Linked DNA regions of Drosophila melanogaster. Changing the gene in region 1 together with any one later gene gives a genetic interaction. Each region holds a gene or a part of one and is shown in the gene's direction. Other genes may lie near its edges.

What was found. Genes that interact genetically often act in the same process or in processes that back each other up.
Region 2: of Dif (region 1) and Tl, changing one suppresses a phenotype caused by changing the other (phenotypic suppression), as found in Drosophila melanogaster (3 studies listed by BioGRID).
Region 3: of Dif (region 1) and lwr, changing one suppresses a phenotype caused by changing the other (phenotypic suppression), as found in Drosophila melanogaster (2 studies listed by BioGRID).

What each region holds. Positions count from the first base shown.
Region 1 is NT_033779.5:17,425,181-17,430,127, reverse strand, and holds the start of Dif (Dorsal-related immunity factor), read left to right. Parts: upstream 1-1,928; 5' UTR 1,929-2,472; intron 2,473-4,947.
Region 2 is NT_033777.3:26,797,104-26,802,423, forward strand, and holds the start of Tl (toll), read left to right. Parts: upstream 1-1,937; 5' UTR 1,938-2,377; intron 2,378-5,320. UniProt on the Drosophila melanogaster protein: Receptor for the cleaved activated form of spz, spaetzle C-106. Binding to spaetzle C-106 activates the Toll signaling pathway and induces expression of the antifungal peptide drosomycin.
Region 3 is NT_033779.5:539,716-544,565, reverse strand, and holds lwr (lesswright), read left to right. Parts: upstream 1-1,985; 5' UTR 1,986-2,136; intron 2,137-2,186; exon of another isoform or gene 2,187-2,215; 5' UTR 2,216-2,318; coding exon 2,319-2,798; 3' UTR 2,799-2,857; exon of another isoform or gene 2,858-3,329; intron 3,330-3,397; 3' UTR 3,398-3,967; downstream 3,968-4,850. Other genes in the region: Spp (signal peptide peptidase), read left to right, coding at 24-233, 300-1,150, 1,217-1,325; ush (u-shaped), read right to left, coding at 4,610-4,850.

The sequences.
Region 1 (4,947 bases):
TTTTTGTTAAGATGTATGTGCTATTTGTTTCTCCCAGTGCATATTTGGTGGCCTTAAACTGGCGCTGGCTGAAGAGGAGCAATAAAAGCGGCAGCAACAACAAGTGGTTGCTCAACTATGCGCTCCGCCGTCAAGCCCCCTTCGCCCCCTTCCACCCCCTTCCACGATTTCTTTGGGGCTTGGCTTTGTTTTTCTGCATTCTCTCTTCCTCGCTCTCTCTCTCCCTCTCGTTCCCGCTCACGCGCGTGACCTTGAAGCGCAAATGTGCCAGAATTGCAGGGGGAGTTGTTTGGGCGGGGGTAGAGTCTTTGACTTCTCCCCCTTTTTTTCTTCTCTTCTTCTTCGGGGAGCTTAATAAAGAGTTGGAGATTTCTGTGACGTCTGATATGTTTACTGAAAGTGGCTACTACGTCATGGGGCATTTGTCATACATGTATGGCTAAAAGCACAATCGCAACTAAAATCCTTCTACAGTGATCCCTAGCCATAAAGAGCAAGAAATTTTAAAATAATAGAATAAAAGTGTGGATTACAATTGTAAATTTGATAATAACATGTTCAAAAAGTTATACAAATTGTCGTACTATATTTTCATCTATATCTAAATATTCATATTTGCTCAATAAATTGCTAAATAAATAAATATCTGTTTTCCTAACTTAAAATTTCTCAAACCCCAGAGCTGAAATAGTTTAGTTTATTTTTGCACGTCCTGAGGTATTCTTGGCTTTGTTGCAATCCTATATAGATGTAAATTGCGGCCGGGAAATTTGCTCCCAAAATGCATTTTGTCCGCAGACGAGCCCACGCTACATGAAAACTGTGTTTTTAGTTCGAAATTTTCGTGGGCTAGCAGAAATAAATTATACTATTTTCATTCATGCACAACAATAATGAAATATTTCCACCCGATTGGCAATGTTAACTGCAAATATTTTTCCCCTACGTGTTTGGTCTGCACTTGTGTTTATTTCAATGACTAAAATCTGTCTATGGAACAGAAGCCAAAAATTGAGTTAATAACTCAGTTCGACCTTAGACGTTGGCGAATCTTTTTTCGGTCTCATTTGGGAATTTTGTTGGCGTGAATTAGCAACGTTGTATGGATTTTATAATTTACATTTGCCGAGGGTCGAACTCGTTTCAGGTCTGTCAATTCCTGGGAAAATCAATAAAAACATTCAGCTGTCATACCTATATTAGATAAATAGATCTATTGTTATGCATCTGGCTAATAGTTGTCGATTTTTTTCGGCTTCTCATTCCAGAATGGCGAATGATTCACATAAAGAAAAACTTTTCCTCCTATCTGATCTTATAATAAACCTTTGATCTTGATTTGTCCAGAAACCTGTGCACTATTTTAAACGAATTTTTAATGAGAAAAGAGTTCATGTGAAATAACATCTTAGGTATTTTGAATTTTTATGATATTTCCAAACCATTCATAACAATAAATTTTCATTCCCAGCAAAAAGTACACATTTTTTTGTAAGGGAATCAATGTTTACTTATAGCCGAAAATCGAAATTGGAACACCTGCAGAGCGTTATAAAAATCTCAACACTTTTCCAAATCCACTTAAAAATCTATAACCATTTTTTCTGCTCGATGGCGTCATAGGAACGCACTTGAACACAAATACATTAGAGAGAACGAAACATTGAGTACGCACAACGGAAATGAAAATAAATAAAGGAAAAGTGAAGCAGTTTCGAAAATAAAAACAGATATTGGCACCCTCCGTCAGTTGCGATCAGCAACCATCATATCAGCAGCGGTAACTTTTTATCACGTATACGTATCACGTATACGTATCAAGTATACGAACCGAATGCATGCGATCGCAGAGAGCGAACAGCTGAGAATGGAGCCTGAGCTATCGAAGCCATTCCGAAGCTCTCTTGCAGCCGAGTGTGAAGCGAACCGCTCAGTTTCAATCTGAACTTGGCCGCCGACGGACGTGAAGCGCCGACTTGTTCACACATAGATATCCATACATATATATATACATATAGATGTACATATAACGCATATTGTGCAAGTCGCACGCGACTATATAGCTGCCAGTGTATTGGTTAATTATACGAAGCACGACAACTACAACGTAAACTACAGATGTGTGTATAAATCAATGTCCGCTCTAAACAGGCGGCTGCAGTGTCAATAGCAAAAATTAAACAAAACTCAAAAGTAAAATACATGAGCGGAGCAACAACGTCGCTTGTGGGAGCAACTTTTGTTTTTGTTTTCAATTTCTTCATAATTTTTTTGGCGCGCCTTTTGTGAGTCGCGCGCGATAAGTCCGACACATAAACCGAAAACCAGTCAATCATAAAAGACAAATTTAATCAATTACACGTGTCAACACAACAAAGAGCTAATTCGATTTCTGTCTGACCCAGTGCATTCGGATCGAGAATCCAAATTTAATCAAGCATTTAAAGCAGCCTACCTACTACACCATAAAAGGTTAGCTATAATAAATTTTCTGAAACTATAGTCAGCTAGCTAGCTTAAGGCGTAGTTTGTAAAGTCCCCGGTCCAGAAGGCGGCTTTAGAAACTTAGGTACAGACAGCTTCCCGTGTCAGGTTCGATTGCAATGGCACTGCAAAAAACTACGTGCCAGCAACTCGGCGGAATTCATAAATTTTAATCCCAGATACATAAATAAGTACACAATTTTCCGATGCGGGCAATTACTTATCTAATGCCACGTGTAATGAAATTTGTATTTATTAATAGTGAAGTGAAAAACGGGAATACGGCCGGGTTCACTAGACTGCGTAATCGCAAAAAAAAACGACAAAAAATTTTAATTTTTAGTGTATTATTTTTATTTTGTTTTTTTTGTCCATGCGGGAAATATTTTAAATATTTTTGTGACTTCTTTAATCTACTTCCTGTTTGATTTGAACCTAAACACCCGAAAGATTATAGGCATAGCTATATCAATACATTAAATATAGACTTTGTGCAATACTTCGTAAATATTTATTAAAATATGGTATGTTTTTGCTTATCAGCAAATATATATTTCTGCTAGTGTAACTGCAGTTTTGCAACCCAACAGGCGTATAATATATGCAAATGAAAACAAGAAAGGCGGTTGACTGCGATTTATTAAAAGAGAATAACACTCAGTACGACATTTACTAGTAGTCCCAGTGTTTCTTTCTTGTTTTATTGGTCGACTACGAAAAATCATTAACATACTGGTTCAGATTTGTACATTTGCACATAACATATGCCGGAACTGCACCCTAGAGTAGACATTTCCTCCCAAGAGCAATAATGTATGCAATTATAAACATTATAACTCTTATCTCAAAATTATAGTGCCAAAGCTGTTTGTGACGTTTTCACATTTCAAGCTGTTGTATTGGAAATAATTTAGGCGTTGATATAAAAAATTGGAAGAATATAGCTACTCAGTTAGTCTTTAAATAACTTTCCAAATGTGAAAGAAAATCTGCTCAAGAGGAGCCAAAAAGAAGAGGAATTCAATGGTCAAAAAAAAAAAAATCGAAGCAAATGCAAATATTTATATTAACAAAATGTAAATATTTTTACAACTGAAATCGGCACGGCAAAAGTTTATAAAAATTTGCGGTGGCATCTGGAAGATTTCGTTTATTTCATTTGTAATCAAAGGAATATACAACCTGAACCGTGGAACTGAAACTGCAATCGAAAGACACGAAATGGCATAAAGTCTTTAAGACTTTTGCCTTATCCGCACGCAAAACATTCGGCCATTTGGCCGTTTCGGAATCCATAAAAATAGAATGAAATGGAACAGTCATGGTCAAAACTTACTCAAATATCGATTTATCTGCTCCCAGCCAGCAGCTATCTAACTTGTATTGGGCGATGAACCGATGATGCCAACGGCAGCGGAATTGTTTTCGGTAATTGTAGAAAATAAAACACAAACAAAGTCCGCACTTTTCACACCTTTTGGTCCATGTGTGTGCGATTGCTTACATACAGTATAAAGTCGCAGTCTAGCTATAACTTTGCCAATTGTATTAAGCAGACTTGTTTCCGAATTGAAAGTTATTGTAAATTAAATGCCAGCGGGAGAAGGAAGGTCACAGCCTGTACACACATTTGTGTGTAGGGTGCAAGTCTAATTGGTAAACAATTGAGAAACGGTCAAAACGATGAACTCTGGATAGAGCTGGTTAAATATATGTTGCTAAGAATTATCAGAAACCTTTGAATTACTTATTCTTTAAATTAAAATTTAAATTAAAATTTAAAGAATACACAATGAGAAGCTTCATGTAAGCTATAGTATTTTCACCCACCAGTAATCGATTCAAAACTATTTTTACTGTAAAATAATATAACAAACTTATACTAATTATGTTTGTTTTCAAGAGTCAATTCAGCTTGATCAGTTTATTGAATACTTGTACACTTTTTCGGAAAACCCAAGAGAGCAAATGCAATTGCTTTGAACTTATTTCAATTAACTGATAAGACTTGAACTTTAATCAGCAAGAAGAAAATCCCAGCGGGGCTTTATATTCTAGTCTCCCTGATAACCCGGCGTGAGATTGAGTACTATACCTTATATATATTTCTTTTCATTTTCCGCATGAACAAAAACCAACTAAACTTTAAAATGATCTGTCATTCACATTTACATCGCCAACCAAAGCCCAAGTTCTACAAACAATTCACGCCACCACACAATTTTACAAACAATGCGGGGAAAAATATAGCTGAATCCCATTACGCATACGCCATGTTGTACCGAATCTGAATTGATTGAATCGTGAAAAGTTTTATAGCAAAATAATTAAATGCTGCGGTTTCCTCCAATTTTCGGCCATCGCGTGTCGGTCGTTTTTCTTGGCTGAAAGCGAATGTACGTACGAACGATTTGTCTTGGCCATTAGAATGGAAATGGCTCCAACGCTTGGGTAAATGAGGTC
Region 2 (5,320 bases), on another chromosome or scaffold:
TGGCCAACCACGCACAAATGGTCACAAATCTGGACCTGAAACACATGTGGGCCTGCCTTTGGTTCCTCCAGCATCTGTGGCACGTACAAATTTCATTTGTTGCACTATTTATGTGCTTCTCCACTGATGAAAATGAAATCAAATTAAATTTTCGGCACAATTCAAAGTGAAATTTTGCAGCTAACATAAAACAAGGCAAATGAGGAATAAATCTCCCGATGTGTGTCCTGTGCGCTGGGTTTTCCCATGTGGGTACATTGAATGGGAAATTACTGGAATTTCCTTTCGGTCAGAATTACATGCGCATATTTCGGTAATATCTTTGAAATTTACAGTAAATCCTAGGTATTTGAAATGAAAAACACGGGCAGTGTGGCAAATGTGTATATTAATGCATCTTTGCGGGGAGAAGTAGCCATTATGTTGCCTATTAAGCTTATCCAGATTTGCGTTGCTTTGTTTGATTTGACGTAAAGTTATTTGCTTGGAAAGAAAACATCTTAAATCCTTGAAAATTGTGGTGTAAGCCTAGTAGTAAACATTAAAATTGTTGTTGTAATATTTCAACAAATTTATTTAAATTTCAAAGACTTTAGATAATTACCAATTGGGAAATGGAATCAACACAAGATTGCTATGAAAATTGTACATGAATTCAAAGATTATTCATAAGCATGTCCTAATTTTCCATACGCCGTGCATAATTACAGAAAACACAGTTGCAGAGGGATACGATTTCCATTTGCATTTCCCATTCCCCGTCCCTGTCGCACTTCACACGCTGCTCCCCCGGGAGCTATGTCCCATCCTTGTTCCGCATTAGCAGAACGCACTTCCACTTCATTTGAGTCGCAAGCGGCAGAGCGAGAGGGTAGATGTTGTGGAAGTGTGGTTTTAATTGGCACACAACAACAACAGCAAGCAGTCTGCTACGTGCTGGCAATTACATTTTACATTTTACTCAGAGAGAGAGACTAATCAACTAATAAATCCATAATCACTGTTATTACGTATGCTGCCTGAGATGCTTAGACTTTGAAGTTAACCGGTTAAACTTGGCTAACAAGAACTGAGAACTACTGGCCAACAACAACTGCCGGCTTTTCCCCCAAAAATGAAAACAAAACAGTAGAAGGCTCTCTTGCTCTACCACTTTCTCTTATACTCTTATACGAAGTACCTGTATTTCAACTGTTTTCCTCTCTCGCATGACTTTTATCGCATGCGATTTGTTTATAGTGCAACGACCACAGACACGAAGATAATTCGTGTGTCTCTCTCTTTTTCTCCCACGCATCTGTACCTTCGAACGGTATTTGTGGGGTAGAAGAAATTGCTCGACTTATTATATCGTTTGCCACTCAGAAGTTAGGGAAAGAATTTTATTTTTTATAAAAATCCTAGTCAACTAACATAAATCAACTGAAAGCTCGATTCCTCATATTATCACATTGTGTTATTGCTACAAGAACTGTTGTTCTAAAAATTCTTATCAGTACGTCAAAAATATAAAAAAATTTCGAGACTAGCATTTTTATCCAACTCATATTTATTTATAATAAGCTGATTATATATAAAACCCAAACAGCTTTATAGAAATAACTTCACACGTTATTTAAGGTTAAAAAAGTAGCAAGATAGGATGTTATTAAAAGTAGAATATAAAAAATATAATAATAATTTAAAATGTCTTAACAAACTGGAGCTTAAGGAACCAAAAGCAAACAAAATGATATAAAACATATAAAGACTGTGACAAAATTATTAAAATTTAAAATAAAATATATTAATAGGCTGATTACAAATTTAAGTAAATAATGTTTTCTATATTGAGCAAAGGGTATCTTGCCGCCGACTCAGCCACTCTCTCGTCTTTCCCTCCACACTAAGCGCACTACCAGCTCTTCATCTCTCAGTTCTTCTTTCTTTTCGAGTCGAGTTCAGTTTGTTCCGAATCGCCGACGTGAACGCACGCTTGTCGCGCTTGTAGCAGTTGGATTTTTGATTTTCCCAGCCAGAGTCCCGCGTTCGTGTGTTGTGGGCCGCTTTTGTTTGTCTCGTTTTGTGGCCAGCGATTTGGCAACCGAATAAGCCAAGTTAAGAGCAACGCTACGCAGCACAAAATCCATAAAAACAAGAAACACAAGGCGCAATTAAATGCAAATGTGTGAAAGTGTAGCAAGCATTTAACCAAAAATAAAATCGCAAAAAATCGCGGCTTCAAAGTGCGAACAAGCGCGAACAGAGAAGCTAAACAACAGTGCCAGTGCGTGTTTGTTCGTGGCAGCTTAAGAAAAGCCAAATAAATATTAATATTTGCACAAGAGATCGCAGCGGAGTAGCTAACCTCACATTTAATAAAACACGTATTAAAACGGTAAGTATTTACGTCTCCTTGTTCAGTTATTACACTTTGAACCGTGCCATCTCGCTCTGTCTCGTTATCTCCCATTCGATTTTGCTTTGTGCTAAGCTTCGCTTGGCTCGCGCTAAGCTCAGCTATCTCTGTCCCACTCTCTGATCAGTCCAATTCGCCTATAATTGCACAGAAAAAAATTTACCAAATTGATGGCTCATCGGGCAATTGGTTGACATTTTGTTCCAGTTTTGATCACAGTCAGATAAAATCAATTTAAAGTACATAAAATGAGCTGTAAAATATTTGTAAACATCTTTAAATTGATCTATTAATACTACTACTACTACTACTACTACTACTAGTACTCTGCGTAAAACCGTATTTTTTCCTGTGCAAATTGGCGATGAATAACAGTTTCAGCAGTTGTAACCGTTGCACAATTTTCCCCAGTGCTTGTGTGTGTCACACTCTTGTTGTCCACAATTTCCGTGGTTTTTCTCGGCACTTTCCAGGGAAATGTGCAAAATGCTGCAGTGCAGCAGCAAGTGCTCTTCGGCCTTGGGGTGTGCTTTGCGTTTTGGCCAACCCATGAACGAAACAAAAAAGAAAACAAAGCCACACGCATTTGGCCCAAAGCTCACGAGCCAGCATATTAACACTTTGAATTTTTGGCCAAAAACCAGTTTGGAATCGAAAAAACAAACAGACACAACAAAAGTTTATTTACTACCAAAGAGAGCTTCGTTCAACAGGTTTTCATTGCGGGGACTTTTATTCGTATTGAAGGTGGAAATACCTGGGTAATGCAGGTTTCAAAAGTACTTCTAACAAACCAGAAAATGCCCACTTGTGCTTTAAAAGCTAATAAGTTGCTGATTAGAAACAGCAAAACAAAATAAGAGAAGAAGGAAGGGACAAGAATCTTCTCGCTTGTACCAATTATGGTAAAAATCGTATGACCTTATGATAAACTTAGACTTTTGTTTTTAATTCATTTCGATTCTTCTTGGGTTTTCCAACACCATAAATCTCTTCTTAGTTGATAGCCCTTGACCACTAGCTACATTTATATGAAAAATTCGGAAAACCCCAAGATTCAACCCCAAAAGTTCAACGATTATCGCTCAGAAGCAGCAGGTCTTGAATTCAAGAACAATGCTGTTTTAACAATAATTATACAATATATATAAATTTTGATTGTATTTTTTTCCGATAGTTAACATCCTGCCATTGAGCTTCTTTCGCCTGAGGGTTTTCCGAATAACTGTACTCTGGATTTAGGTTAAGATTTTTCTTCTTTGGCCCACATCAAAGGCAAAGAAGCTTTCAAAGCGGCTATAACAATGGCGGCAAACTGAAAAAAAAAAATGCTAGTCTTCGTCTGTGAAGGTAAAACTGCGGAAGTCATTTAACAGTCTACTTAACTTCTGCCAAAAAAAAAAGAAGTGAACGAAAAAAATGAAGTGGAAAACGGCAAACTGCAAACGTTCAAGATGCTCCGCTTGGGTCTTTCGTCTTGGCCACGTTAGAAAGTAGCTGTAATTGTGGCTCCGTTATTGTTATGGCCAAACCGCCACTAGTCCAACTGCAGGCGGTAAAAGTTGCCCAAAATGAATTGTCATACAAACACGTTTGTTATAAATATTTCTGCACAATGAGAGACTCATTTAAGATTCATTGTACTCGCTTTTTTAGTTGTTAGCTTTATTTTTCCCCCTCTCATTATTGAGGGCGTTTGTCCACTCGGTTGATAAGCGAAAAGGCAGAAAAACAATATTCAAAGCTGACTCCGCTTTGGTTTTTACATCTGCCAAGTGTTTTTTAGCTTTCTGCTATTTCACTCTTAGTTATTGGCGACTTGTGTTGATAATTAGCACGTCGGCTTTCAGCGTTTCTATGACTTGTGGTCCGCTCAGCGTGATGAGTCAGCCTCCTAAGCTGAAAAGAGCGTTACGATCGAACCACCATATGTCTTACTCTCCCGATCTCAGATCAGCGGGCGGTTTAACCCAAAGTCAAACCAGATCCGTGACGTAAATGGGAGACAAATACACGCAAAAAAAAAACAAGACTGAAGATCTGAAGATTGTATCTATAAGATCTGTTATTAAAGTGATATGTAATTACATACTACATTCTTATATGATGACTATAATGACTAATATAAACACGTTTTAATATAGTACAAGTTTATATTATATAGCGTAATATCATACTTACCGTATTGTTATCACCTGTTTTTTTTTAACAACTCATTTCTTTTCGTGTGATTTCAACGTGTGAGGTTTTTTACTCTCCAATCAGATTGAACTGAGATAGAACTGCCTGACCAGTCACAGGGCTTATTGCCTTGCATTCAATTAATTAATTTCAATTTTATTGCTTCAGCTGACCATAAAATCGTGAAGGGAGGAATAACCATAAGTTCCCCACTGCGACATTCTCTCGGTGGAGGGAAATGAAGTCGTTGCACTTGCTTTCACCCTAATGCCTTCATCAGCTGCACAAACGAAAAATCTCATTAATTTTCCACTTTCTGTCTATCTTTGGGTTATCTCTCCATTGTTTGTCCCCGTCCCAGTTCCCTTTATGTTCTTACTATTTTTTTTTTTTTTTGGCCCTACCTGCGTGCAGGAGTTTTCCCTCATGAAGTTTTCGGTCGCGACATGTTTTCTGATCCGTGTCCTGTGCTCTGGTCTAGTTCATTAGATGGACTTGGCTAATCGATTTCCATAATCAAACAGATGGCGCCAGAATATGAGAACGAGAATGAGACATAGCAAATGAAGCCGAGTAAATGTTGATATAATAAACCCCGTGTGGCAGGGCCAATTAGGCCTTACTCCTCACCTGTGACACAGCCACATATTTTCTCATTTGAATAAAGAAACACGACCACAGCAGGGGAAACATTAGACGCGCCTAAACGTAGAAATTAGCGGCCACAGAAAACGGGAGGGA
Region 3 (4,850 bases), about 17 Mb from region 1:
CGGATTGGATTGGACAGCACAGCATGGCGGAGGAAGTCATCGGAACCGTTAAGGAGGTGCTGAAGGGCATCATCGAGAATGTGAACGCGCCGAAGAACGAGTCGGCGCCGGGCGAGAAGAAGCCCTCGACTCCGGAGGGCATGGCGGTGGCCTACAGCAGCCTGGTGGTGATGGCCATGCTGCCCATCATCTTCGGCTCCATCCGCTCCGTGAAGCTGCACAAGCTGAAGAAGGTATGTGAAGCAGACTCAGCCCGGAAGCTGCATTAACATGTTTCCCGTAATTCCCACTCCCTGCAGTCAACGGGCGAGAAGGCGGACACGATGACCAAGAAAGACGCCATGTACTTCCCGCTGATCGCGTCGGCAGCCCTCTTCGGGCTGTACCTGTTCTTCAAGATCTTCCAGAAGGTGCACATCAACTACCTGCTCACCGGCTACTTCTTCGTGCTGGGAGTTATTGCTCTGGCGCACCTGCTCAGTCCGGTGATCAACTCGCTGATGCCCGCCGCCGTGCCGAAGGTGCCCTTCCACATCCTGTTCACTAAGGGGGAGGGCAAGCACAAGGAAGACATCGTTAACTACAAGTTCTCCACGCACGACATTGTCTGCCTGGTGATCTCCTCGGCGATCGGAGTGTGGTACCTGCTCAAGAAGCACTGGATCGCCAACAATCTGTTCGGTCTGGCCTTCGCCATCAACGGCGTGGAGATGCTGCACCTGAACAACTTCGTCACGGGCGTCATCTTGCTGAGCGGCCTGTTCTTCTACGACATCTTCTGGGTATTCGGCACCAACGTGATGGTCACCGTGGCCAAGAGCTTCGAGGCGCCCATCAAGCTAGTGTTCCCCCAGGACCTGATCGAGAACGGCCTGAACGCCTCGAACTTCGCAATGCTGGGACTAGGCGACATCGTTATTCCGGGCATCTTCATCGCTCTGCTGCTGCGCTTCGACGACAGCAAGAAGCGCAAGACGCGCATCTACTTCTACTCCACGCTGATTGCCTACTTCCTTGGCCTGCTGGCCACCATCTTCGTGATGCATGTGTTCAAGCATGCGCAGCCGGCTCTGCTCTACCTGGTGCCAGCCTGCATGGGCACGCCCCTCCTGGTGGCCCTCATCCGCGGCGAGCTGAAGGTGCTCTTTGCGTAAGTGTGGACTGCGCTGGGCGCTCGACTTGAAACTAAACTAACTCATTCTCGCCCCCACTGCAGCTATGAAGATCATCCCGAGGAGAAGCCCGAAAAGAAGGAGAAGAAGGAGAAGGACGAGGGCGTCAGCTCGTCCGGCAGCAAAAAGAAGGAGTCGAAAAAGGGCAAGTAGAGCCGGGAGGACGCAACATCCGAACAACATCCCCACTCGTTCCATCGTAAATGTCTTCTGCAGCTAGCCAAGCTCCCTTTCGTTTCGATATGGCTTCTCCATCTACCGCAGTCCATAGCTCATATGGACTAACACCGCTACAAAAGACGATTCACTTACTGAGTTAGTTATGTACGTTCCTTGGCCAGGCACAACAATCTTATTTAGTTCGGTTAGGTTACAATTGTAGAAAATGTTCCCTCGACTTTTTTACCGCAATCAATTTAAATATGTATTTCAAATATTTCTGTGGCTCCGCACAGGAGGCTTATATGTTTAAGAACAGTTTAGATACAAATATATTCCAATTTTTGTAAACAGTGCAATTTTGACTACGAATTCTACATTGCATTTCTTAAAACTAATGCAGTAATTTGTGTAAACAGTAATGCGAATAAATTTTAATTCTAACGTTTAATTAAACTAGTTTTGTATTGAGTAGAGGGTTTTTAGGAATGTAACGGCTTAAGAGAAAAACCTAATACATTTTAAGTTGAGCTTACCAAAATCCAAAGAATTTTTAAATTTAAAACATAATACAAAAGTGCTTTGAAAAAGTCAGTATTTTAATACCACTGTTTATCCACGGCCACACTAAATATCGATAACCGCATAGTGAGACCCTTTGTGTAGAAAAACTTATACCTTTAGCGAGCACAAGCGTTCATTCCTGAAAAATTGCGGTAAAAATTGCGAAAAGCGCGAGTTCCCCCCGCGATTGCAAATAATTAATTTGCTTGGAACCACTGGAGACGCAAGGACGAACAGAGAGGTAGGTGCTCTTGCACTTAGCGCGCCAAAAGGCGACAAAGCCCCTCGTAGGCCACTTACCCACACACACACATTCGCAGACAGACGCGCGTGCAAAAAAGGCCAAGTGGGACTGCTAGCGGAAATCCAGGACTCGAGGACACGTTCGGGCGGCAGTAGAGAAGCGAGCAAGCAGCGACGACCATGTCCGGCATTGCTATTACACGATTGGGGGAGGAGCGCAAGGCCTGGCGCAAGGATCACCCATTCGGGTTCGTCGCACGACCCGCCAAGAACCCTGACGGCACCCTCAACCTGATGATCTGGGAGTGCGCCATTCCCGGCAAGAAGTCCACCCCCTGGGAGGGCGGGCTCTACAAGCTGCGCATGATCTTCAAGGACGACTACCCCACCTCGCCGCCCAAGTGCAAGTTCGAACCGCCGCTGTTCCACCCGAACGTCTATCCCTCGGGCACTGTTTGCCTGTCGCTGCTGGACGAGGAGAAGGACTGGCGCCCCGCCATCACCATCAAGCAAATCCTGCTGGGCATCCAGGACCTGCTCAACGAGCCGAACATCAAGGACCCAGCCCAGGCGGAGGCCTACACCATCTACTGCCAGAACCGACTGGAGTACGAGAAGCGCGTGCGTGCCCAGGCCCGCGCCATGGCGGCCACTGAGTAGTCGGGCTCCTGCCAACCACCTTTACCACATAGACATTAACAAATACACACATCTAGCCGGTAAGCGTTTGTTTGGAATGCTCTCCACGTCTACTTACTTTTAAAGAATCGACTAATTTTGGATAGCCCCCGCGGCCCGAAGCATCTAATTTTTTAATGTTCTGCACTTGCTTAATTACCAGCATGTACCATCTGAATAAATACAAATAAGTCCTGTAATTTTTCGATGAGGCCCAAAGTGGCCACGTGGCACCCAGAATTCGACGCTCTTTTCAGCTTCCATTCTGGGTGCAGGTGCCGATTATTCTACGGGCTATTTTGTATCGCGAGTACTACGTACAAACCTATGTAATTTCAATAAAAATTTATTAGTTGTAAAAGCTTATGCATTTTAAAGCGGAAAGGATTTCCCAGCAAATGTGCAGTCGAGCACTTGTTGGTCGTCAGTAGCCGTACAGCTGGATTTAGTGCTTGAATTATTCCATATAAAGTTCTTCCTTTTGCTTATTATTTAAGTAACATGACTATTTTTAAATTTAAGCATTTTATTTAAAAACTTGTTCAGTCCATTTTTACCTTTATATTTTATTTGATTTTTAGGCATTTGAAGCTGGTCACATTTCCCAACTATTTCAGCTGATCTGGCAAGTCCGCCAACATTACTATGCATAATTTTTGGCTGATCTGGTAGCATTCGCTGCTGATATAGCAATGCTTCCAGCTAACGGTTCATTTCCAACGAGGCCGCCATATTGAAAAATGCCCAGTTAAAACACCTACTGAGATTTGTGTTCGCCTGGTACTTCAGTCTGGGGAATCCGGCATACTGACAGCTGAATTTATTATTTTTCCCGAGGATGCTCATATATTTCGAACTGAATTACCAGGGAAGCATAAGCGTGGAAAGGTGTTTTTAAAACAACCGCCAGGATTCCCAAAGTCTTGGTTTTGGTGGGCATGCTCTATTCTGAGTACCAGGCGAACAGAACTTCTAGTAGGCTACCAACGATCAGCTGATCTATCTGATGCCTGGTCTAATCTAACGGTTCTTTTATTAGGGATGCCACAATATTTTTCTATTGATCCGGTAATATGTCCGATGTTTGACAATATTTTAATCAATCTGGCAACTATGTCGTCATAACATTTTTCGCTAATCTGGCAGCACTCAAATCGTTCGTTGAATTCAAAAATGTAAAATGTCGTTTAGTTACTAATTTCACTATATTTTATATTGAATAAATTAATTACTTTTATTGTCGCACACACTTAATAAATAATGTACTCATTTAAATTACACAGTTAGAATTGCTCGCTTTATGGGGAACAGCGAGTAATTTACATTATAGTATTGGATCTACATTGGAATACTTCGCCTCCTTCTACTCCGCAGACCATTGCAAACTTGTAGTTTCTCGCCCTCAATTTAATTTCTGTCTAAGTGGTAAGCTTTGGCATGCATTATATGTCATGGTTCCCACTTAATGGGTATGCGCCTAAATTAATGTACCTAAGTATCTATGTGTTATTCCTTTAGGTGTACTGTATATGTACGGGAGTACGATGTATATATCTACTTCTATCGATCGGTAAGTCGAAGGAGTCAGTCCCCAAATGGAGTTGGAAGTGGAGGGCAGCGACGGGAGATTTTCCGGGAATACTGTCGTCGATGGTTGGTTGCGGTTTGGATAGTGTACATTTTTAAAGGAGGCTAGGATTCGATTAGTTTCGATTGGGTTGGGCTGCTGCTTAGAAGCACGTGTAATACCACTCAAGCTGCTTGCGCTGCGCCTCCCACCGCAGCTGGCTTTCTCAAATGGCCGCCTCCTGCAGGTTTTCCTTGTTCTTCTGCTGGCCGTGTCCGCCGACCAGGCCGCCAATGCCCAGGCCCACGGCAACGCCTCCGCCCAGGTGATTCGGACTGGGGCTGTCGCTGGCCTCGGGGCGAATGGGCTTGTTTTTGCAGTAGAACTGCTTGTGAGCCAGGTAGGTCTTCACGTAATTGAAGGATATGTCACAGGTTGAGCAGTACTTCTTCATCACCTCGGCGGCG